Linked DNA regions of Lonchura striata. Each later gene encodes a partner of the first gene's protein in a complex. Links are inferred from orthologs where the notes say so. Each region holds a gene or a part of one and is shown in the gene's direction. Other genes may lie near its edges. The genes, in order: GINS4, GINS2 and CDC45.

Region 1 (7,576 bases):
GGTCAGCACTGCAGCAGCACCGAGGCACTGAGGGTGTGGAGTGTCCCTCCACGCTCGCCTGTTCATTTTAACCCATCACATCCCTGGGTGTGAATTCCGGTTGTTTCACAGCTGAATTGCACATTAGCTTAGGAGTGTTGCTCTGAATGGTTTTGTGTCCACGTTGTGTTTGACTCGGACTCAGCCTGAGCACAGGAAGGTGTCTGACAAAGAGCTGCAGGTGTGTAACTCTGCGTGCTCCAGGCTGCGGCTCTGAGTGCAGTGCAGATGATCCCTGAGTGGAGGTGGATGTACAAGGCTACTGGTGAGTTCTGCAGTGTGCACCTGACAGCCCCACTTGCTTTTCTTGCAGATTGACAGGCAGCAGTTTGAGGAGACAGTCCGGACACTGAACAACCTCTATGCAGAAGCTGAAAAACTTGGGGGCCAATCTTACCTGGAAGGCTGTCTCGCCTGCCTGACTGCCTACACCATCTTCCTGTGCATGGAGACACACTATGAAAAGGTAAATGCTTGTTTCCCTTTCATCCTGCAGGCAAGAACTTGGGTCCTGGTGGGTTTCCTGTGACTTGCAATGTTCTGGTGCAGATGCTGTATGGATGTAACTCAGGCGTGCTGGTACTGGTCACTTTGGGTCCCATGGGGGGCACCCTGAATCCAGGCAAGTGCCTGCACTGTCGAGCCATCAGAGCAGTTGTGTGTCAGTTCTCACCTTGCCGTAGCTGTGATACTGTTTGAAAGGAAACAGTTGTGACTTCTGTGCTGTTTCATTGCCAGGTTCTAAAGAAAATTGCTAAGTTCATTCAGGAACAGAATGAGAAGATCTATGCTCCTCAGGGCCTTCTGCTGACAGACCCCATTGAAAGAGGATTAAGAGTTGTATCCTTCTCTGGTTTCTGACATTGTCTCCTGCCTTGTGCTCCTCGTTTGTCTCAGTGAGGCACCTCTGCTCATGCTCGATCTGTGATACAGAATGGGTGATTAATCTTGTTGCTTTTTGTTGTGTCCTGGTCCCTAGTCAGGTTTTAGTATGTTAAGGTTTGGTGCGTGCAAAGCCCATAAAGATGTGGAACCCAACCTTTGTGCCTGCCTGGAAAGAGCGCTCAGGATCCTGCCTCTATTCCAGTAATGTCCAGAAATGCTGTTTTTCTGACTGGGGAAAGAAGTGACCATGTTGGTAGGACAGAAATGGATGTGATAACATCAATTTACTTAATGTGCAACCCTCAGCTGAGGTTTTGGTGAAGATCTTGACATACAACATCACTGCAAGCCTGGCACTTGCTCTTGCTTCCAGTATGGCTTATTTCAACCCTTTTTCTTCAGCCGTTGAGCCACACTGAAGACATTTTGTGTGGTTATTGCCTGAAGTTGTAAAGACCTCTCATAGCAAATGGGGAAGTATAATGAGTAACACAGCTTTCTTTGAAAATCTTGAAACCACAGTAACTTGAAACCCAATGCCAATTGAATGTATGATGAGGCTAATTCGTTGAAGTTGGGTTTTCTGTGTCCTTGTCCATGTAGCTCAGAGCTGTCACCTACATGACTTCTTTTTTCTCAGTGTGTTTTTCCATTGTGTATACACCTTCTGGAAAGAAAAAAAAAACAACCAACATTCAATTTGAGTAAAAGCATTTTCAGTTTGGTAGGTGACTTATTAGCAGTATTAACTTTTTTTGCTCGGCGCACAGCCTTCCCCATGAGTTCCTGCGCAGGCCCTGGGCTGGGAGCCCGTGCTCTTACCTGATGAGGCATCTCACATAGGCTGTTCCTTTTGCTTTGGAGCTCTGGGACCTGCCTTTAAACAGCTCAGATATCAAAGTCCCATCATCTTAATGTTTTTCTGCCTTTTTCCGGGTATGTTTTCATAGTCTCTTTATAGTGTATTTCCTTAACAGCTTTTCTGTGCAGATTGAAATTACCATTTATGAAGACAGAGGTTTGACCAGTGGAAGATAAAACTGTGGAGTTTTAGGTACATGTTACCTGTATCTCAGATCAATCTCAACATCTTTTTGTGCTCAGAGGATTGGGTGCTGTCATGCTGGGAGTTTATCCCACCCTTGTAGTTATCAAAGACTGTTCACATAAAGCCTGTGTGGACCAGCTCTTCTTAGAAGTAAAAATATCAGTACTGGGTTGAAGAAATTGGAGTCTTGATTGTGTAAATATGCTAACTTGTACTGTATTATGTCCAAAATTCTTCTCGGGTCAGTAAAAAATGGACTCTGTCCCTGAGTGTACTTTAGCATACAGAGCCTTTTTGCTGCAGTTTTTTAGCTGGCTGCTGTTCTGGTTACCATGCTGATGTCTTTACTTGTGATGCTTTGCGGTAGGAGGGCCCAGCAGCCTTGAAAAGCTCTGCTGAGAGCTCTCAGTTCTCTTGGTGCTGTGGGGCGAGTCACAAATATCCAGTGCAGACCACGAAAATTGCTTTCTGTGACTTTGCTTTTGGACAGCTGGCATTGGCACTGGTTCCCTTGTGCTGGGTGCTCTGCAGGTATTGGGATGGGAGTGTTACATTCAGATTGTTAGCAGTATATACAGAAAAGAATGGGAAACATTTATGCCTGTTTTGCAAAAAGAAACAAATAGTAAAGGTCTTTATTTTTTGTTTGGACAAATGAAATGAGTTCTGGATTCTGCTCACCACAACACATGGTAACTCTTGCCACATTCTTGCTGCACCTGTAGAAAGGTTTGTGTAGGGTAGCTTTTGGTTTGAGTTAGGAGTTTCTAACCCTATGAAACTTCTTTTCTAGATGACAGCTCATCGGTGGACTTGCTGTACCAAGGTTCCCCTACCTCCTACTTTAGAGCATCATTCCTTTCTCTGCTGCCAGATCCACAGTGCCATCTACTACAAGGACTAACTTCCTCAAACTGCTCCCCAGGGGGTGACCTAGCTGGTCAGCATCCACTTTGCAGTAGATTTGGAAGCAACAGGATCACTTTTTAGTTTTTTGTTTTTTTTTTTTTTTTCTCAAGAAAAGGCAGAGTGGTAAAGCTGTGTTCTCTTCTGAAAGAAATGGGCTCTCAGCCCAACAGAGGTTTAGTTTTAGTCCTGTAAGTACAGTGCTGTTCATCCCTGGTTCTTAAACCCTTCTATGTATCAGTTGGGCTTTGGAAAGCTCCAGCTCAAAATTAGGAATTTCCCTCCAGTTCAGTGTAGGAGTGCAGAGATACACAGTGCCTCTTCCCAGTGAGGAGTGACTCAAGGCAACGTCTCTTGTGCTGATCCTTGTGGAAAACCAAAAGGCAGAGTGCTCCTTGAGTTAAGGTCTTGGTTATCCCTGGGGGGAGGGGGTTGTAGCCAGACTTTAGCCCTGGTGGTTTTTCTGCCCCTGTGTCTGTGGTGGTGTTGGCCCCATCAGTGCTCACCAAGAGGGGCCTGGTCAGTGATGAAACAGCAAGCACAGTAAAGTGGATGCTGAGCCAATAAAAATAATGATTCCCACCCTTCTCTGATTAATATGTGAAGTGTAAAACTGTTTCTTGATGGATTCCTTATATATAGTTTATAGGAAAACATTGATTTGATGAACTGTAAGATACTGTGTAAGATGGATTTCTTAATTCTGTCTCTGGCACACATTGAGGAGTTGAGCTGTGCATTCCTTAGCGTCCCCGTGCATTGCTCAGCAGTACCTGCACAGTCCAAGCTGAATCCTTTCTCTCACATCCTTTTCCTGTGTCAAAGCCCAGGTGTCTTGGTGTAGGGCCGAGTGTCAGTGTCCAGTTGTGGAAGGAACTCAGGAGTTCAGAAGAGACACTTAGCAGGAGTGGTGGGGCTGGGTTGGTTGTTGGTGGTGCTGCAGGTGCTAATACTGGATATGGAACTCCAGGCTCATTCCTCAGCCACTGGGGAGTTGAGATTTGATGAATATTTTCATTGTATAAATTTGTTTTTTCTAAACTGTAACAGTGTTTGCCTTTCACAGCTGTTGCAATATTGGCAGAAGTACTGATGGATCAGTAAACCTTTTCTTAAACTGTGTCCAGGTGTGTTCAGTGGCGAGGGGCACAGTGTGGCGGAGCGCGGGGCTGGGAGCGGCCAGAGCTGCAGCGCTGCGGGGATGGGCCGTGTCCGGGCCCGGGGCTCCGCCCGCAACCGGGGCAGTGGCCGCTGGGGCCGTGTCCGGGCCCGGGGCTCCGCCCGCAACCGGGGCAGTGGCCGCCAGGGCCGTGTCCGGGCCCGGGGCTCCACCCGCAGGCGGGCCGGTAGCCGCCGGGGCCCGGGCTTTGGGGCCGGGGCTGCCAAACCCCCTGAGGCCTGATTGGCTGGAACAGTTGTAGCTGATCTCTGATCGGCTGGAATGGCTGCAGCTGAGCGCTAATTGGCTGGAACAGCTGAAACGTCTCTCCGGCTATTCATTGGCCCAGAAGTTGCAGCTTGACGCTGCTCTCTGATTGGTGGAAGCCCCTCCAGCCTGATCTAAAGCCTGACTTCCAAAAAAGCTGCATCCGCTTCCTGATTGGTCGAAAAAGCTCGAAGCCAGGAGACGCATCGTGATTGGTCGAAAAAGCTCCGCTTCCGCCTCGTGGTTGGCCGCAGAAGCAGCACATTCAATCTGCATCTTGATTGGCCAAAGAAGATTGCTGTTTCAATCCGCCTCCCGATTGGCCGGAGGCGCGGCGGCCGCAGCGTGATTCCCCATGCGTGGGCCCGGGCGGCGCGCATGCGCCGTGGGCGGACCGGCGGAGCGATGGCGGGAGCGATGGCGGCAGCGGCCGGCGGCGACTCGGACGGCGACAGTGAGGAGCTGGTGCTGACCCCGGCACAGCTGATCCACAGCCTGGAGCAGGTCCCCGGGCTAGCGCGACGGGCTCGGGCCGGGGGAAAGCGGGGGTTGCCGGGCGCGCTGGAGCAGATGCCGAGCGGCGGGGCCGTGGCCGTGTTTGCTCCTCTCGCTGCGGGAGTGCAGCTGAGGTTTTGCTCGCTTTCACTGACAGCGTGCCTTCTTTCAGGCCTGGCTGAATGAGAAGTTTGCTCCAGAACTGCTGGAGAGTAAACCTGAAATCATCGAGTGCGTGGTGGAGCAGCTGGACCATATGGTGGGTTCTGGGGCTCGGGTGGTGCGGGCAGGCCCTGGTTGCCTGGCTTGGCACGAACATGCCTGACTCTCTTTGAGAGTGCCGGGCTTCCCTGGCTCCGAGGCAGATCTTCTCCGAGTTTCTTCTTTGAGCTTGCCTTGCAAAGGGCTAAAGTACGAGGAGGCAGCATGTTTTGGGTTATCAAAAGCAGCCATAGTCTGGTTTTGTGGGTTCTATATACAAAACGTGGCTTCCTCTCTTTTGTCTTGTTTGACGTTTCAACTATATAATTTCTCGTTGCTTTTTCTTGTAGGAAGCAAACCTGAAACGGGTGAAGAGAGGAGACCTGAAGGTCAGTGTTCATCACATGGAGATCGAGAGGATACGTTACGTGCTCAGCAGCTACCTGCGGTGTCGACTGGTGAAGGTAATGCTTATTGCGCAGCCCAGAGGGTAAAAAAGGTAATTTCAAGAGGGTTTTTTGCCTACACGGGGCTTCCTGCCTCAGCACAGCATTTAATTAAAGCATGTTCTCTCTCTGTTCTCTGAAATGCAACTCATATTAATTTCTTGGGCACACTTTCGTATTGTAATGAAGGAGGTCACAGCAGTGTTGATCACAATATTGTGAGTGCTGCTTGGTTCATCTAAGCCTGGGGTGGCACAGCTGAATGCTGTCCCATTCTGCCCGAGTCCTGCTGTGTGCACACATGGTTGTATAGCTTGGTGATCCCATGTGATGTCCCAGTTACCTCAGGAGCAGGGATTTGGGCAGGCCTGCTGCTGCTCCTACAGTGGAGAGCGGGGCTTTAAACACTGAACTCGTGGGAGAGATCTGTATCATTCTTTTGGATTGTGTTTCAATATTAGATAGAGAAGTTTTTTCCCCACATCCTGGAGAAGGAGAAGTCTCGAGCTGAAGGGGAGCCTTCCATTTTATCACCAGAGGAGTTTGCTTTTGCTAAAGAGTGAGTAGGTTTTCAATGTATCTTCCTCCCCTTTTATAGATTATAGAAACTTACTTTTGTGTTTTGATGACGTTCTTGAGACTGTGAGCCTTGGATAGGTTTGAAGTAAGAATCAGTGTGTCTTACCAGGAGATTTCTTTGTGGGCAAGAAAGGAACTGAAAATAACTCTGGTAACTTTGAGTCAGTTACCAGGGTCTGTCAGGGGCCTGTCTTTGGCTGTGCCCATGGGATGAGGAGCTGTCATTCTTGTTTTGAGTCAATACTCTCCCTGCAGATTTGTATTTGATTAACCAACTCAATACTTCAATGGTTTGTTTCAGGTATATGGCAAACACAGAGGCTTACCTGAAAAATGTGGCCCTAAAGCACATGCCACCTAACCTGCAGAAAGTGTCTCTCCTAAAGTCAGGTGAGTCTCTCCAGACTCCAGGGTAATCTGGAAATTGTAGAACCAGGCAGGAGTGTGGGGGAAGCTCCAGGGAGCCCCAAATGTGAGGGCTAGTCCTCTGCTTGCTGCTCAGTTGAAGCAAAGGTGATGTTGTAACATGGTTCCATGCTTCTGCCAGGGGATTGTGCTGGCCCCTGCTGTCAAGTCCTGTCTTGCACTGAGGCTGAGCACACACATCTGGTTAGAAGAGTCTGGTGTTCCCTTTGCTGGCTATAAGTTTGTTACATGTCAGACCCCTCAGTGTTCTGCAGAGGAACATAAGTGGGGGCTGAGCATGTGCTCTCAATCTGTTGTCTGCAGTTCCAAAGCCCAACCTGGACTCCTTTGTGTTTCTGAGGGTGCTGGAGCGGCAGGAGAACATACTAGTGGAGCCAGAGACTGATGAGCAGAGGTAGGTGGGCATTTCTGCACATGGCACAGGTGTCAGTCAGTGTCACTGATGGGCGTGTGCTGCAGCTCACGTTCCCCCTGTCTCTGCAGGGAATATGCCATCAACCTGGAGGAGGGCTCGCAGCACCTGATCCGCTACAGGACCGTGGCCCCTCTGGTGGCCTCAGGAGCCGTGCAGCTCATCTAGGGGAGAGGTAAGTGTGTGGTGGGAGGAGCAGCTACCACGCCATCTCCCTGCCCACCCCACAGTGGGCTGGCAGGAGCTCCCAGTGGGGCTGACTGGGCCAGATCCCCTCTGGGGCTGGGTCCCCTCCTAGGGCCAGGGCCCCACTGCCATGGCAGGCAGAGCACAGTGGCACTGCAGGTGAGCACCACAGTGTTGTACTGCAGAGGCATTCATTACCCCCACAGCTCATCCAGTTCCTGATTGCTTGTGACATGGCCAGCATACAGCCATAGAGTCCTTCCTCTGGCATTCCTGTGTGAGAGCAGGCTGTGTCACAGGGCAGTGTCGGGAAAGCTTCAGTGTGTAGCTTCTGGGATGCTTTGTTTAAGAGCAGTGGCCGGTGGCATCACTAAAATGGAACAACTGTGGTCTTGGCTCAGGAAAAAGTAGTTTCTGCTGTGTGTCATCTGAATACCCTCCATGCAGAGGGTGATGGGTTCTGGTGCAGCTTCAGGTTGCATTTTTGAGAATAGACACTGTCAGACTCCCTTCTGCAGAAGCCACTG
Region 2 (8,014 bases), on another chromosome or scaffold:
ATTAGATCCCAGGGGAGAGATCCCAGAGGATAAAATCCCAGAGGATTAGATCCCAAAGGATGAGATCCCAGAGGATCACATCCCAAAGGATCAGATCCCAGAGAATCAGACCCCAGAGGATCAAAGCCCAGAGGATCAGATCCCAGATGATCAGATCCCAAAGGATCAAATCCCACAGGATCAGATCCCAAAGGATCAAATCCCAGAGGATCAGACCCCAGAGGATCAGATCCCAAAGGATCAAATCCCAGAGGACACCCCCTGTGCACAGAGCTGGCTGTCCCCAGCATGACCCTCCTCTGCTGGTGTGCGAGCCACCAGCAGGTGCCAAAACCCACCAGATTTGCCTCAAAACAGATTTCCTGACATTTGGGCAGCCTCCAGGAGAGCTGCAAAGTGAGGTCCTGGGCAGGACTCCACTCCCCAGCCCTGAGGGGGGGTCACAGCTCAGGCTGCACCTGGGGAACTGATAAAAATGCAGAATTAAAAGCAGAGATAGCAAATTTTCACTTCCCCTTGCTGCCTGCTGCTGACCCACCTCAGGGCTTCCTGTGAAGGCAGAGGTCAGGCAGGGGAGCAGGGGCTTTCCTTGGCTCTCTGTGTGGCCCAGAGCTTGGAAGAGCCAAATGAGTCACTGACCCTCATCCCAAGAAGCTTTTCCCAGCAGCTGTGGGAGGAGGGGTGAAGATTTCCCAATAAAGGGGTGCTTTTCCGCAGAAAAATTGTCAGCATCTTGGAAAAAAACTGATGTCCCACAGTGGGAATTATCCATCTAAACACTCTGGGGACATCAGGGGTGCCCAAGAGGAGCGGGGTGATGTGAATTCCAGCAGTGCATCCCGGCAGCTGCTCCGGCTCAGCCCGAGGGAGGCAGCCCTGGGATCATCCCTCGGTTTCCTGTGCGTGGACTCGGGGTTTTCTCTGCAAGAACCCGTCCCAGTTCCTCCTGCTCCCAATCTCCTCATCCTGAAATATCTTCAGCCCAAACCCCAGGAGCGGAGAAGCTGGGATGGGACCGCTCACCCAGCAGCAGGTTCCTTCTCCACCCTCCCAAAAAGTTCTTCCTGGAGCTCGCGGGCCCAGGTTGAGTCGCTGAGGCGCCGTGACATCACCGGTGGTTTTGCGAGCGAGCAGCCGCGTTTCCTGTGGCTCTGGAGGCTCGCAGGGAGAGATGTGAGCTCTGGGCTCCTCTCCTTCCTCCCCCCCAGCACCGCTCCCCTCAGGCCTCTCCTCTCCTCCCCAGCGCCAGCGGCCAGGGCCGGCGGCGGAGCTGGAGAGCCGCGTCCCGCTGAGAGGATGAAAACATGGGGCTCAAGTTCTCCTGCCTGAAAGGTCAGTTTGGGATGGGCCTTCGGGCTGCTGCTGCTCCCCAGAGACACCTGGGGGATGGTGGCTCCCAGAGGAGATTTTGGTGTGGGTGGGAATTGGTGTGGTGGAATTTCTGACGTCTCACGGGCGACCTGTTGCGCCTGGATGGCCCCAAAGAGGATTTTCCCTGCTTTATTTTTTCCCTGCTTTATTTTTTCCCTGCTTTATTTTCCCTGCTTTATTTTCCCTGCACCTTTTGATCTGGAGAATCCAGGGGTTTCCTTGGAGGCAGGAAAGGGCTGCTCAGGGACACGTGGCTGGCATGCAGGGGTCAGCCCAGAGCTTGGGTTCCAGCTCCCGGCCTCCAGGCTGGCCCCAAATCATCCCTCACTGCTCCACCCTCCCCAGGGATGCTCCAACCAGGAGCTTCTTCCCCAACTTGAATTTTCTTAATGGATTTAGGCCGGGAATGGCGTCAGGGATGTCTGCGCAGGGGCAAAGTGGGAGCTTTTAGTGCTGCTGGCCTGGCAGGGCGAAGGCTGGATATGGCATCTCCCATTAGCTCTGCATCCCTCTGACTCCTGCTAATCATCCTCGGGGTCGTTAGGGATGGGGCTTAATGAGGATCCCTCTCCAGGATGCAGGGCCGCCTCTTCCCTGGCTTTTCCCAAGCCCAGACTCTCTGGGATTCTGGCTGTGATGGGCATAGAGCTGGATGCATCAGCCAAAAATGAGCTCTGCCCCCTCTCCACAACAGGGAGGCTGGGGGGATTTGGGGTCTCACAACCCCCCCTGTCCAACAAGGGGGAGTTGAAGAGGGGAAGCAAGCAGCCAAGGAATCCCAATCCTGCCCCAAATCCAGGACAGAGCCCCAAAATATTCCCCCATGCTTCCAGACCCCTCTGGTGAGCTTGGAGTCTGGAATAAAAGAAAAGACCCTCCCCCTTTTCCAGCTCCCTTACATAAGGCAGGGCTTTATCCTTAATTAAAAAGAGATTAAAAATATCAGTGTCTGTCCCCTCCAGGCATTTTCTTGCTTGGGAAGAGCTGAAACCTCCCTGGATGCAGCCTGTGCCGCACGGGGCTTTTCTCCTGATTAAAAAAGCAGATTAAAGCGATCTGCTCCCCTCAGGGCGGGTGGGCTGGGCTGGTGGTCGAGGGAGGGGTGGGATCCACCTCTGAAACCCCGCCAAAATCCAAGGTGGACGCAGGGGAGGAGATGTGAGGATGCTGTGGATTCTCCAGTGGCTCGTAAAGCGCTGACACCGAGGAGGGCAGGGAGCCGGGGGGATGCTGAACCCGATGCCTGATCTTTCTTTTATCCCCCAAATTTCCCCAGGCTTGAAGATGTGCGTGAGCAGCGGGAACGGCAGCGAGGGGACCCCAGCGGGACAGAAGCACCTGCACGTGCCCTCCATCATCGTCACGCCTCCCACGCCCACGGGGACCACGCTGTCCCGCGAGGGCCGGCGCGGGGAGAGCCCCTCGCCCTGCAGCCCGTGCTGAGAGGGGACACGGGGGGACCCCCAGCCCGGCAGGAGCTGTCCCCTCTCCTCGGGATGGAGCCCCCAGGCCACGGCCGGGCCGGACGAAGCTGCCAGGGACACGCGGGGCACCCACGCGGGTGGGTTTGGACAGCAGGGACCGGGGTTTGTCCCTTTTGCTATTCCCCCCACGGCGAATAAAAACCCGCACCCCCAGTTCGGCTGTGGCAGCACACGGGGGATGGGTTGTGCACCCCGAAACACGGCAGCATCGCCCCCACGGGGTCACCCCCGTGCCCGTGGGCGGGCAAAAGTGGGGCTCCACAGCTTTCCACGAGGGATTGAAGGATCCACTGCAGCAAACAGCAGCGGGATAATGAACTCGGCGTCGTCACCCCCATCCCGCCGGATCGGCCGCATCCCGGGAGGGAGCCGGGGGCGACGCTTCCCGGGGAGCGGCGGCACCGGAGCCGGCGGGAGAGGCGGGAGTGTGAAAGCAGATGGAAATTTCATTTTTTAATGACAGCAGCAGATGGCAAAAGACACGCCAGGGGAGGTGCAGCGTGGGGGAGACGTTCCCGGAGCGCCCAGCACGTGCCGGCGGCACCGGGGGCTGCTTTGGGGACCCTCCTCGGGGATTGGGGGTCCCCAAGGCTTGGCTCCCACCCCAGGGTGGGGGTAACGCTCATCCCAAGGGTGGTGGTTGCTCCACGGGTGATCCCAGGGTTGAGCCCAAGGTGGTTTGGGAGAGGGACTGGGGTGAAGTGGATTTGTCTGGTGTGGGGAAGTTCCATGGGGACTTGCAAATGGGATACAGCTCCCCCCAAATCATCCAGAAATCACTGGGATGAGCTGGGTGTGGGGAGGAGGATGGATGGATGGATGGATGGATGGATGGATGGATGGATGGATAGATGGATGAATAGATGGATGATGGATGGATGGATGATGGATGGATGGATGGATGGATGGATGGATGGACGGATGATGGATAGATGGATGGATGGATGGATGGATGGATGGATGGATGGATGGACGGATGGATGGATGGATGGATGATGGATGGATGGATGGATGGATGGATGGATGGATGGATGATGGATAGATGGATGGATGATGGGTGGATGGATGGATGATGGATGGATGGATGATGGATGGATGGATGGATGGATGGATGGATGGATGGATGGATGGATGGATGGGGAACAGAGAAAAGGGACAGGTGAGTGATGGCAGGTGCCGGAGCATGGGTGTCTGAACAGGGGCCACTGAACAGACAGACAGATGGGCAGATGCTGGGGCCTGAGCACCACCCAGGGACAGCCACGCCCAGTCCCTGTCACCCATGCCGGTCCCTGTCACCCATCCCGGTCCCTTTCACCCATCCCGGTCCCTGTCACCCATTCCGGTCCCTGTCACCCATCCCGGTCCCTGTCACCCATGCCGGTCCCTGTCACCCATCCCGGTCCCTTTCACCCATCCCGGTCCCTGTCACCCATTCCGGTCCCTGTCAACCATCCCGGTCCCTTTCACCCATCCCGGTCCCTTTCACCCATCCCGGTCCCTGTCACCCATGCCGGTCCCTGTCACCCATCCCGGTCCCTTTCACCCATCCCGGTCCCTGTCACCCATTCCGGTCCCTGTCACCCATCCCGGTCCCTTTCACCCATCCCGGCCCGGCGGTCGCGCGCGTTCCCGCGGGGCGCTGCCGCTCTCGGCCGCCAGGGGGCGGCAGTCGCGGGCGCCGCCACTCCCGCGGCGCCCCGGCAACAAGTGCCGCGCGCTGATTGGCCGAGCGCCCGCGGGGAGCGCCGCGATTGGTCCCCGTGCCCCCATCCGGACTTCCCCCGGCGGGGCAGCGGCCAGAGCGCGCCGCGCGCAGAGCAGCCAATCACAGAGGCGTGCGCCACGGCAACACAGCCAATCAGCGCGCGCCGCGCCGCGCCGGGCCCCGCCTTTCCCCGAAAACCGCGAAAATGAGACGGGAGGCGGGAAAGGGGAACGGGGGGCGGGGCCTGGGGCTGGGCGGCCAATGGGGAGCGAGGGCGGGAGAGGGCGGCCCGGCTCGGGCCCGGTGCGGGCCCGGTTCCGTCCCGGTACGATCCCGGTACGATCCCCGTCCAGTCCCGGTCCGCTCCCGGTGCGCTCCGGGTACGATCCCGGTCCGGTTCCGGTCTGCTCCCGGTGCGCTCCCGGTGCGGTCCGGGTACGATCCCGGTCCGGTCCCGGTCCGCTCCCGGTGCGCTCCCGGTACGATCTTGGTCCGGTCCCGGTGCAATCCCGGTCCGGTCCCGGTTTGATCCCGGCTGGATTCCGGTTCCATTCCGGTGCGATCCCGGTTCCATCCCGGTCCTGTTCCGGTTTGATCCCGGTCCGGTCCCGGTGCGATCCCGGTTTGATCCCGGTTCGGCTCCCCCCGGGCCCATGGAGCCGGCCGAGGTGGAGTTCCTGGCCGAGAAGGAGCTGGTGACGATCGTGCCCAACTTCAGCCTGGACCGGATTCACCTGATCGGGGTCGGCAGGGCCGGGGCTGGGAGGGGACCGGGACTGGGAGGGGACCGGGACTGGGACGGGACCGGGGCTGGGCAGGGACCGGGGCTGGGACGGGACCGGGGCTGGGAGGGCCTTGGGGGCAGGGATTGGGTCTGGGGAATGGGGTTGGAGGGATTGGGATTGGGGTGCGGGAGCTGGGGGGGTTAGGGTGGGTCTGGGATGTTTGGGAAGCTGGGGAGGAGACGGATTTGGGATGGATTTGGGATGGAGGGATTGGGGAATGACGGGCAGAGGGGGGACGGGGTTGGGAGGAGAGGCAGGGCAGCCCCCAGGAGGTTGGGGAGGGGGCTGTGCTGTCCCCCCACATCTCGGGGGGTCTGTGCAGCCCCCGAGCCCTGGTGGGGGTGTCCGGCTGTCCTGGGCGCTGGCCAGAACCTGGGGAGCCTCTGGGAGCTGCATGTCCAGGGAGGTGGAATTTGTAATTCCTGTGAAACCCCTTGGAATGAAAGGAAACTTTGGTTATTCCTTCTCCAGGGAGATGGGGGAGCTTCTGAGAGCAAGAATTCAGGGAAGTGGGAGGAGGAAATGCAGGATCAGATGTTTGTCCCAGGCTTTTCCAAATCCTCTGGAAACTCTGGCCACATTAGCAGGCAGGCTCTGTGCAGTCCAAGCTCTGGTTGGAGCCCGCCTCTCATCCTTAATTTGTTTTCCAGGGAGATCTGGGTCCCTTCAACCCTGGCTTGCCAGTGGAAGTGCCCGTGTGGCTGGCCATTAATCTGAAGCAGAGGCAGAAGTGTCGGCTCATTCCCCCGGAATGGATGGATGTTGGTGAGGATGGAGGCTCTGCCTTCAGCTCTGGCCTTCAGTGGGTGCAGTGGAAGCATGAAATTAAAAATAATCCGTTTTTCACCATTAGTGGGGAGCTTAATTGAAAAGCACAAGGCAGCTGGGAGAGATGGATCTCATGTCCCACCACTGGGATTTTCTTTACTCTCAGGGGGGTGAGGCTTGTTCAGAAGAAGCTTTAGGGACTTTGGGTCACAGAATCTCAGAATTTTTTAGGTTGGAAAAGATCTCCAACCTCACCAAGTCCAGCTTGTCCCCATCTTGTCACCAGCCCAGTGCACTGAGTGCCACCTCCAGGGATGGGACTCCAAAGCTCCCTGGGCAGCCCCTTGCAGTGTTTAACCACCCTTTCAGTCCAGGAATTCCTTCTGATGTCCAACCTGAACCTCCCCTGGCTAAATCTGAGGCTGTTTCCTCTCATCCTGGCACTAATTCTTGGGAAAATCCCTGTGAGGAGATAGGGATTTTGGTTGGATGGATGGATGGATCCTTGGAGGCATCCATGTCCCTTGTGTGCCTCCCGAGCTGATCCTACAGAAACAACGTGGCTTTTTCCTGGGGAGAGGGGGAAAAAACCACACAAAATCCGAGCATCCCTGGTTGCATTTTAGGGAAACTGGAGGAAATCCGGGATCAGGAGAGGAAAGAGGACACCTTCACTCCCATGCCCAGTCCCTACTACATGGAGCTGACCAAGCTGCTGCTGAACTAGTGAGTAGGAGCTGAGCTGGGCCGTTTTCCACCCCACTTGGTTGCGAGCACTGAGGATTTTTCAAGCTTTGCTTGGCAGCAGCCCCGCAGGGCGGTGGGGAAAAGGGAGAGTCGAGGGAGTTTCATCCCTCAGCCTTGCCAAGATTTCTCAGCAGCACTTCCCTGATGGTAACTCTGCCTCTCAGGAGCTTGGGGTGGCTCCTTGCGTGGCCTCCTTGTCGGGGCTGTGCAGTTTTAGGGAGCACAGCTCGGTGTGGAGGAGCCGCAGCACATTCCGGGCTGCAATCTGCAGGCTCCAGCCTCCTTCCCTGGCTCTCCTTCAGGAGGAAAGCTCCTCTCCCCTCAGCCTGGGGAGCAGGAGGCCAGGGAGATTCCCAGCCTGAGCTCCTGCCTGCTCAGGCATCTCACTTGTAAAACGTGCTGGCTGCTGTTTGTCTCAGCCAGGGCTCTGCTGGCTTCTTAAGCCCTTGATTAAGCAGGGTGGGTACTCCAGTTCTGGATTTTTGAGGCTCCTGGCAGGGTGGGCACTCCAGTTCTGGATTTTTGAGGCTCCTGGCAGGGTGGGCACTCCAGTTCTGGATTTTTGAGGCTCCTGGCAGGGTGGGCACTCCAGTTCTGGATTTTTGAGGCTCCTGGCAGGGTGGGCACTCCAGCTCTGGATTTTTGAGGCTCCTGGCAGGGTGAGCACTCCAGCTCTGGATTTTTGAGGCTCCTGGCAGGGTGGGCACTCCAGCTCTGAGAGGGAGAGAAATGTGCTTGCCACAGAACCCCATTCTAAAAAGCCCAAAATTCTACTTTTCCACCCTTTGTTAGTTCAACTATCACACCACTCAGACCCTTGTGGTTTGCAATTCCTCGTGTGGAGTTCGCAGCTTTTTCCACGGGCTAAAATCGAAGCCAGGGGTGTTTTTTGACCTCGTGCCAAGGTCTCTGAGCCCCCTGCCAGGGTCTGGAGGGATGTGCTGGGCTCTGCCACCTGCTCTGAACCCTTTCCCTTCCCTTTCCCCGTGCCAGTGCCTCTGACAACATCCCCAGAGCGGACGAGATCCGGACGCTGGTGAAGGACACGTGGGACACACGCGTGGCCAAGCTGCGCCTGTCCGCCGACAGCTTCGTGAGGCAGCAGGAGGCTCATGCCAAGGTGTGCCAGGAGCTCGGCCCGGGAGGGAGCC
Region 3 (7,895 bases), on another chromosome or scaffold:
GGTTTAATTGGTGAGGGACTGGGCTCCACACCTTTCTTCTTGCCATCCAATCTGTTCCCAGATCCAGAGAATGCCTGTGGATACATAATCAGTTTTAATTGAACTCCTGGCATTTGAAAGCACACTTCACAAGGACATTATATCTGTAAAATCTTACAGCAATTTTTATTTAGTTATTTAACTCAGCATGATTCTTTTTGGTACATATAAGCTGATGAATCATGGGTGTAGGAGTCTGTTTCAACCTCTCATCTGCCCTTTGCAGAGAACAATTCATGCTGCTCCTGGCTGTGATGACACAAAACATTCACAGGCACTTACCAGTTAAATAACAAGCATCTATAAGAACAGGTACTGATATTTTGCAGTTGTTCAGAACAACTTTCCCTCACCATTTTACAGGATTCAGAAACCAGCAGAAACAGGGCACTTACACGAAATCCTATATCGCTCACATACCCACTGTGGTCTGCTTCCACATCCTGTGAGGGGAAAAACAAGTTCATGTTGTTTGTGTTCTGACATGCACATGCCATGAAAACTGTTCCAAGTATTTCTGGCCAAACAAAACTTCAGAACAATCACTTGTCAAACCAAGACACTTTCTTAAAACAACAGTTGGTAAACACCAGTCCCCTAAGTAACACATGCAAAGGCTTCTGGCAAGTAAAATTTACTCTACAGAACTTGTTTAAATAAAAAAAAAAAAATTATGTTGGCACTTCCCCCACAGTCAACAGTGACTTCTAGGGGATGCATTTTGGAAGAACAAAAGTTTAACATACTGCGGTCTCTTCATGTTGTGCACTTCTTTCTGGTTCTTTGTATCCCAAAGGAGCATCAAAATCCACCTATTTACACAAGAAGCATGAAAAAACCCATTATTAATATTTTTCATTAAATCATAAGCTTTATACTACTATTCCTCAAAACTTCATGAACTATTACCACTGCGTTTGAGCTAAAAAGAACTAAGGTTTGGTTGTTAAACATTTTAACTCAGAACTAAAAAAAGACCAAGCCTACTAGGAATTAACCTTAGCATGTAATGGAAACAAAGCAGTAAAACAGCTCCACAATATCACTGGAGTGTGAGTCAAGACAAGGCTATTAAATAAAACTCAGATAAAACATGCCAAAGTTAAACATTAAATTCTAGGCATGGTAGTCACCTGATGGTGCATGAAGTACTAATCGGGATCACAGAAGGGGTTACAAAGGCACATGAGTACTCCCAAGTGAGTCATCTTCCCCACCCCATGGATTGCACCTTTCTTGCAGCATCAGCTGGGCTGGGTGTGCAGAGCTATCACTGCCTTCCCCTCTTGGGAGGACAGTTAAGGCAGGCCTTCCCCATCAGCTTTAACTTACATTCATATCACACTCTATGATGGACACAGCCTTATCTGGTTTGGTCTCCATTACCCGAAGCTCATAGATCTGAAACAGTCATAGATATTTCAAGATTGCATTATGTGTAAGGAAAGCATATCTAAACCTTCCCCTCCAGACCTGAAGTAAGTACTCTTTAGGTTGATAAGAATAAATATTGCAGGGTCTCTACAGAATTTAAAAGCAAAAGTTTTTAGAAGCCAGAGAACCCATTACTGCACCTTGCTGCACTCTTACTGTACTTTAACCTCCATTTTTGAAAACAAATTCTGAATTTAGGATAAATTCTTTCCCTTCACTTGTGAAAACTTCAACAGCACAAACATTTATTTTCTTGTGAGTCCAAAGAAATTTAAACAGCAGCTCAGAAAAAGACTTAGCTGACTCCTTTTTCCCTCCAACAGAAAGCCAACTGTGAAATCTGCCACGTGGGATTACTTGTCCAAAACACTGCATAGCTCTGAGTTGATTGTTTTAATACCAACATCCAACACTAATAGTAGTCTACAACCCTCAACCTTACACTGTACCTTTTCATTGTAGTTGATGGCAATCACATCCCCAGTAGTTAGACAGGCGAAGTTCCTCAATGCATTTTCCAGTCTTTGCAGTATGTTAAGATGAAATATTTATTTTCAGTGAAATATCAAAGCCTTAAAATCACCATACTGTAGATCACTAATCCTTAGTTTCTCAAACATGGTTTAAAAGCCATCAGTGCATATAGGATTTTAGGATATATAAATTCTTCAAAGGGGGACTCAAAACTCATTAGATTTTAAGCCAACACTCCTCCTTCTTCAGACCACACTTTGTTCCAACAGTTGACCACATCTCTGTACATCAGCTCTGCATCCCTTTTGTTTTCAGAAGGGGCAGCAGTGGCCATGTACTACTGGAAGTGTATGAGCCACGTAAGACAAGCTCGCTCTGTTTCATCATTCCAATTTGGAAGCAAATTTTTTCTCCTTTATTCCATAATTTAATAGGAAGGATACACAGCTTTGGGATTGGTGATGTCAAGAAAATCTGGACTTTGTGGCTGAAATTTTGAGTAAGTAGCAACTTGCAGATTCACACTCTCCACTTGCACCAGGCCTCCTTCTTCCAGCAGCAAATTCTGCATCATCTGCAAGAATGGAGACAAACACACACAGCCCTATCAACGTGTCTGATATTTTCAAATCTCTCTCCTGTGTATATCAGCTCTTGTGTATATTCAATTTCAGGAAAAACAGTCAGGTGAACGTTAAAAGCAGTCTGCTTTGCTAAGTTAAACTTCTGCAGAAGGAAGCCTGAGCCAGAACTGAAGGCTGTTGTAGGAACACAACCAGCAGAGACAGGCACTGTCAGGAAACATTCACATCCTTAATATTAAGCCTGGCAACTCCCTAATCCTACTTTTCAGGTTCTGACAGTCCAGCATGAGGCAGCTCACCCAGTGTGGAAGGTAACAGATGCCCTCGTCAGCCACAAACTCAAGCACTCCACAGTGAGTCATTCTGTCTGAGTTCTTGTTGGTCAGCTTGAACAGCATGGGGTAAGTAATATTAAGGCGGCCTAGTAAGAAAGGAGAAAAAAGTTTGCTTTGTTAAAAGCCCCTCTGAAAGCTCTGAAGCTTTCAGAGATCAATCACCAAGAGAATGGGCCCCTCGCACCAATATCCCAACTGCTCAAAATACCAGAGAAAGCAGATGTACAACTCCAGTGTTGGCACGGCACTCAGAACTTTAAATGCTCAGGGAGGCCAATATTTCATATGTCTGTGCTTGAAGGCAGAAAAGCCCCATGAATTCTGACAGAAAAAATACCTTTAAAATACATTTCTTAAACTAATTATTCTCACAGTACTGATTTAAGACTTAAATAAATAAGTAAAATACTGTGGTATTTGCCTACACATTTGCTCCTATTTCTAATATTGTTATTCCAGAATAATGCATTCACTTACTGAGTTGATCCAAAGCTGATGGTGGCATAATTACTGCAGAAATGAATAAGAATGTGAAATTAGGAAAAGTACATCTGTATAAGAGTACATAACACACAATTTTATCCTTCCTTTCTCTAAAATCTCTTTTAAAAAAAGGGCAGATTCTACAATCTTCAAATTTATTTTTTAGACAGAGAGTTCAGTAGAATGAGTCATGACAAATATCCCTGCAATGTGGATATTTCAGAATTACAATCAGGGAAAAAACAAAAGAGAAGACAAGGTTTTACAATATTATTATTAAAGAATTACTTTCCCAAAGCTAATTTTATTCGTTAGGGCTCCCAACTCAAAACAACATAGCATTAGTCTGACACCTTGAAAACTAAGTGACTTTCTTTATACAAATTAAAAAGCACAACATGGTGCAGGGGAGAAACTCCTCAATCATAAACTTCCATGGCTCACACTAGATACAAGATTTTAAGAAGAAATTTTGTAGATGAAGTCTGTTCCTTCTGATACTCATAAACCCCGAGTCGGTAATCATTTTTAGTTACCGAGTAATGCATGGCACATGACCCCTCCTCCTTCCTCAAACCCAGCCCAGGGTGCTCAGCACTCTGTCACCGTGTTTTCAATATTCCTGCTGCCTTGGCCAAAAGCTGCAAGACTTGAAACTATTCAAAAACACTCTTCTAACAGTTTATTAGTCAAAATAAAACATGCACATACTCTTCCCGCCTTTCTCCACATCTGACCTGTCATTAGGTCCGGCAAGCATGGATACCGAGAAGCAGCGGTACTGGGTTGAAAAACGGTTCTGGAACACCCGGGGAATGGGGTGGTCAAACATATTAAAAGAGAACTAGAGGGGGAAAAACAACACACAGAGAAGAACGCAATCATCAGTATCTAGAGCACACAAAGCGACACAGCACCCACTGAGGGCTCCTGCAGTGTCGCCGCCGTGACGCGGCCCCTCCCGGCCGCCCCCCGCTCTCACCATGGCGGCGGCGGCGGCGGGCGCTCCCTCGGGGCCGCCGGGCCGGGCCGGGCCGGGCCAGCGCCGCTCGTTCCCCTCACGGGCCGTGCCGGGCCCCACCCAGGCCCCGCCCCTCCCAGCGTGCCGCGCGGCGCCGCCCACTCGGGCGGCCATTGCGGGTGAGGGCGGAAGATGGGCCCTCGCGCCCTCCGACGCGATCATCGTCAGGAGTCTCTTCTGCTCGCTAGGCTTCTCTTCGGTCACTGGGTGTTGATGCGGCCCTGCTGCCCCTTCTCCGAGCTCCCTTTAATGGCAAAGCTTACAACTTGCCCTCAGAAAAGATGGCGGACACAGCGACAAGACCAGGCCAGGGTGCTTCCGGCCAAGGCCCTCTTGGGATTGGTCAGCAGCGAGTATCGTCACCGCATTCTCCGCATTCCATTGGCGAGGCCCAGGAAAGGACTTGGCATCTCGCTCTGCAGAGGCGGGGTGGGCGCGTTCCTATTGGCCAGCGCTGCGTGAGGCGCGGACCAATGAGAGGCGGCGCTGGTTTGGCGCTCAGTTTGAGCGGCGCGGCCCGCGGCTGCCGCCCGTTCCCGCCGCGCTCCCGTTCCCGCCATGTTCGTCTCCGACTGCCGCCGCGAGTTCTACGACCTGATCGCCACCCAGGTGCGGGCAGCGCGCCGGGACCGGGCCGGAGTGGCTCCCGGGGCGCCCCGGCGGCGGGCGGGGCCGCCTCCCCTGGGGCTCTCCCCGCTCTGTGTTCTGGCCGCCTCACGGCGCAGGGTCGGTGCCCGCGGTGACTGAGGCGCTGCGGTGCTCCGGGGCGGCGGTGGTCTCGCTCTGGGGCCGCAGAGCGGGGGTCGGTGGCGGGGAGCACCGGCCGGGCGGCCGCGCTGAGGGCGGCGGGTCCGGCTGTCAGCCGGGTGGTTAAAATCCCTTTCCCGGGTGTTTTCCCCTTCCCTACCTTGGGAACCCTGGACAAAGCAGCGTCAGCGTGATGAGGTTTTGCCGGGGATTTCACTCAGGGTTCGCCTCCTTCCGCAAAAGTGTTCTTGTGTGCTCTGGATCTCAGGCTTAACCATGACATCGCTGAACCATTTAAAAAAATATCTTTATAACCATTTTGATGTTATTTGCCCAGACACTAAATACTGTTTTCTGTTATCTTTAATGTTTTTCCTGCAATCTTGTAGCACATTTGTTTGCTGCTTGTATTTTTGCAGGGCTTGGTTAACTCCTTTCACTGTGGTAAGGTGGTGAAGCTTTTATTGGACAGTCTTTTAACATTTCTACCAAGGAAATGATATTATGGACTGTGCAAATGAAAGCATTTGTCTTAATTTCTCCAGCTGAGCAAAACGTCAAAACACTCTTCCCTGAAGACCTAAAACAACACTCTCACAAAACAAACAAAAAACCAACCAACCAACCCTCTCCCTGCCGCCCCCAAAAAAATACCAGCCAACCTTGATTTAAATGAATTTATTTCCCTAGTTGCCTTGCTTTTGCTACAGATTTTTTTAGTTAAAACTGTTGCAAATCTGCTGAAAACGAAGGCCATTCTAAACACTATGAAAATAATTGTAGGGCTTGACTAGGTGTGAAACTGTGGAAGTATGTGAGGTCCAGAGGAAACAGTAATTACCTATCCCTAAAGGAGCTGACACATTTTGGGTATAGGTGGAGTTGCTTGTTTTTAATATTGACAGATATCCAAATTTTGGTTGCAGGTCCATTCAGAAGCAATCTTGTTTTATGCTTGTGATGATTTCTATCTGAATTTCTGGTGTCTCAGTGTTCCATGGATTTCATGTACCAGCATGGTCTATTTGGCACCTATTCATACTATTATTTTGTTATTTTTACAGCGTGTTCTTCTTCTTGTTGCTTCAGATGTTGATGCATTATGTGCTTGTAAAATACTCCAAGTAAGTCTTGGTTCATTATCACTGCAAGCTGACAGTATGAGAAAATATGTATGCCCTAGGATCCTATACATGGGTGTGAACTAAGGAGAGGGGGAAGCTTTAATCTGCTTTTGTAACATTGGTTTCCATGAGTTATGGCACTGAAAACTGGGGAGTCATAATCTCAGAGCTCATATAGATTTGTCATTTGGGGTGGTTTTATTTTAAGGGTTTGTATAGAATAGACTCAGCCTGGTGTAGCATTGTAAGAGAGGCTGTTTCCCCTCCCCTCTGCTCACAGCTGTTGCTTCCTTGCAGGCTTTGTTTCAGTGTGACCACGTGCAATACACACTCGTGCCAGTGGCTGGGTGGCAAGAGCTTGAAACTGCCTTTCTGGAGCATAAAGATCAGGTGAAAAAATACTGGAAAATTTTTGGGCTGTAGCTCATCTTTTGTAAAGATAAACTGCTTTCCTTTCCCAATTTAGAATGTCAACCCTTAACTTATTGTTATTATTGTTATGGTTTCTTAAAGCTCGTTACATTTTAACATACCAACAATAAACTTGTCAAGTTTTTAACATCACAAATGTGCTGTAGTGTTGATAGAGTCAAATGGAGTTTGCACACATTTTGAGATAAAAAGGTGCAGGTTTTTGTGTTTTGCTTTAAAAAAAAATCTGCCTCAGAGGCATCAAATATTAGAAAATAAACAGAAGTTTTGGCAATGATGAGTGCTCTGTGGGTTTTGTAAGCATATTTTCAGTTTTCCATGTTTTCTGGCAATTTAAGTAATGAGCTTCTTTTCTTTTTCTGCTTTTGTTTGCAGTTCAAATACTTTGTTCTTATTAATTGTGGTGCTAATGTAGACCTCCTGGAAATCTTGCAGCCTGAAGAAGACACTTTTTTTTTTGTATGTGACAGTCACAGACCGATCAATGTAGTGAATGTTTACAATGACACCCAGGTAAAACTTTGCTTCCATAATAAAAGCCTCCCCACAGTGTGGTGGTGAGCAGTGTAGTGCTTTTCTGTGCTTGCAAAACTGGTTAGAAATTAGCTTGTAGGTCAGAAAGCAGCATTAATAAATAAATATTTGCAGTAGTAATGTACATGACCAGAAAAAAAATCATTTTTCCACTAGTGAAATGTCTAAAGTTAGCAATGTGGTAGTTGTCAGTAGTAAGCACCTGTTAATGTTGTTGCTATAAATCAAACTGCCATAAATCAGAGGATAAACATCCCTCCAGAATGTAACGTGTATTATTTCTCAGCATCTGGCAGCACCTAGAATTTTAAGTATTAAGCATAAATTATTTTATTTTAACAAGCATTAAAATGATAATTTTTTCAGTAATGCTCTAATAATGGAATATAGATTTTTACTCTTATTTTCTATAAATCAGTACGGGAGTTGCATTAAAAACCAAAGTTTTGTTATGCCAGGAATTAATACAGCCTAAATGAATTTTTGGTTTCTTTTCTAAGTAAGATTGCATTTTGCTCACTAAATAAGATACTTACTCTAAAATACAGTTTTCTCCTTGCTAGATTAAGCTGTTAGTCAAGCAAGATGATGATCTCGATATTCCTGCTTATGATGACATCTTCAGAGATGAGGAGGAGGAGGAAGAGGACTCAGAGAATGAAAGTGATGGCTCAGAACCCCATGAGAA

The links.
Region 2: the proteins of GINS4 (region 1) and GINS2 are in contact, whole or in part, in a crystal structure (PDB 2E9X), measured with the Homo sapiens proteins. The link is inferred for Lonchura striata from reciprocal best matches to the Homo sapiens genes GINS4 and GINS2. Residues at the interface, in NP_115712.1 of Homo sapiens: Pro23, Ala24, Ile27, Glu28, Glu31, Trp34, Met35, Lys38, Phe39, Gln57, Met61, Leu73, Lys74, Ser76, Ile77, His78, Met80, Glu81, Arg84, Ile85, Tyr87, Val88, Ser91, Asp166, Asp168, Ser169, Tyr170, Val171, Phe172, Val184; in NP_057179.1 of Homo sapiens: Met1, Glu5, Phe8, Leu9, Glu11, Lys12, Phe21, Leu23, Asp24, Lys25, Ile26, Tyr27, Leu28, Ile29, Gly30, Trp47, Leu48, Asn51, Leu52, Arg55, Lys57, Phe135, Gln139, Glu140, Ala141, His142, Ala143, Lys144, Leu145, Asp146.
Region 3: GINS4 (region 1) and CDC45 share a complex: the UniProt entries of both Homo sapiens proteins name them as parts of the CMG helicase complex. The link is inferred for Lonchura striata from reciprocal best matches to the Homo sapiens genes GINS4 and CDC45.

The regions. Positions count from the first base shown.
Region 1 is NC_134634.1:4,771,162-4,778,737, forward strand, and holds GINS4 (DNA replication complex GINS protein SLD5), read left to right. Parts: upstream 1-4,654; 5' UTR 4,655-4,682; coding exon 4,683-4,808; intron 4,809-4,971; coding exon 4,972-5,058; intron 5,059-5,350; coding exon 5,351-5,464; intron 5,465-5,907; coding exon 5,908-6,005; intron 6,006-6,326; coding exon 6,327-6,415; intron 6,416-6,754; coding exon 6,755-6,845; intron 6,846-6,934; coding exon 6,935-7,031; downstream 7,032-7,576. Other genes in the region: GOLGA7 (golgin subfamily A member 7), read left to right, coding at 353-505, 778-879, 1,915-1,962. UniProt on the Homo sapiens protein: Required for correct functioning of the GINS complex, a complex that plays an essential role in the initiation of DNA replication, and progression of DNA replication forks.
Region 2 is NC_134615.1:21,515,882-21,523,895, forward strand, and holds the start of GINS2 (DNA replication complex GINS protein PSF2), read left to right. Parts: upstream 1-4,989; 5' UTR 4,990-5,216; coding exon 5,217-5,306; intron 5,307-5,998; coding exon 5,999-6,113; intron 6,114-6,742; coding exon 6,743-6,842; intron 6,843-7,856; coding exon 7,857-7,983; intron 7,984-8,014. UniProt on the Homo sapiens protein: Required for correct functioning of the GINS complex, a complex that plays an essential role in the initiation of DNA replication, and progression of DNA replication forks.
Region 3 is NC_134620.1:7,541,764-7,549,658, forward strand, and holds the start of CDC45 (cell division control protein 45 homolog), read left to right. Parts: upstream 1-4,865; 5' UTR 4,866-4,928; coding exon 4,929-4,979; intron 4,980-6,181; coding exon 6,182-6,241; intron 6,242-6,538; coding exon 6,539-6,631; intron 6,632-7,048; coding exon 7,049-7,186; intron 7,187-7,770; coding exon 7,771-7,895. Other genes in the region: UFD1 (ubiquitin recognition factor in ER-associated degradation protein 1), read right to left, coding at 1-74, 435-482, 786-851, 1,372-1,440, 1,923-1,995, 2,391-2,521, 2,831-2,952, 3,344-3,376 and 2 more. UniProt on the Homo sapiens protein: Required for initiation of chromosomal DNA replication. Core component of CDC45-MCM-GINS (CMG) helicase, the molecular machine that unwinds template DNA during replication, and around which the replisome is built.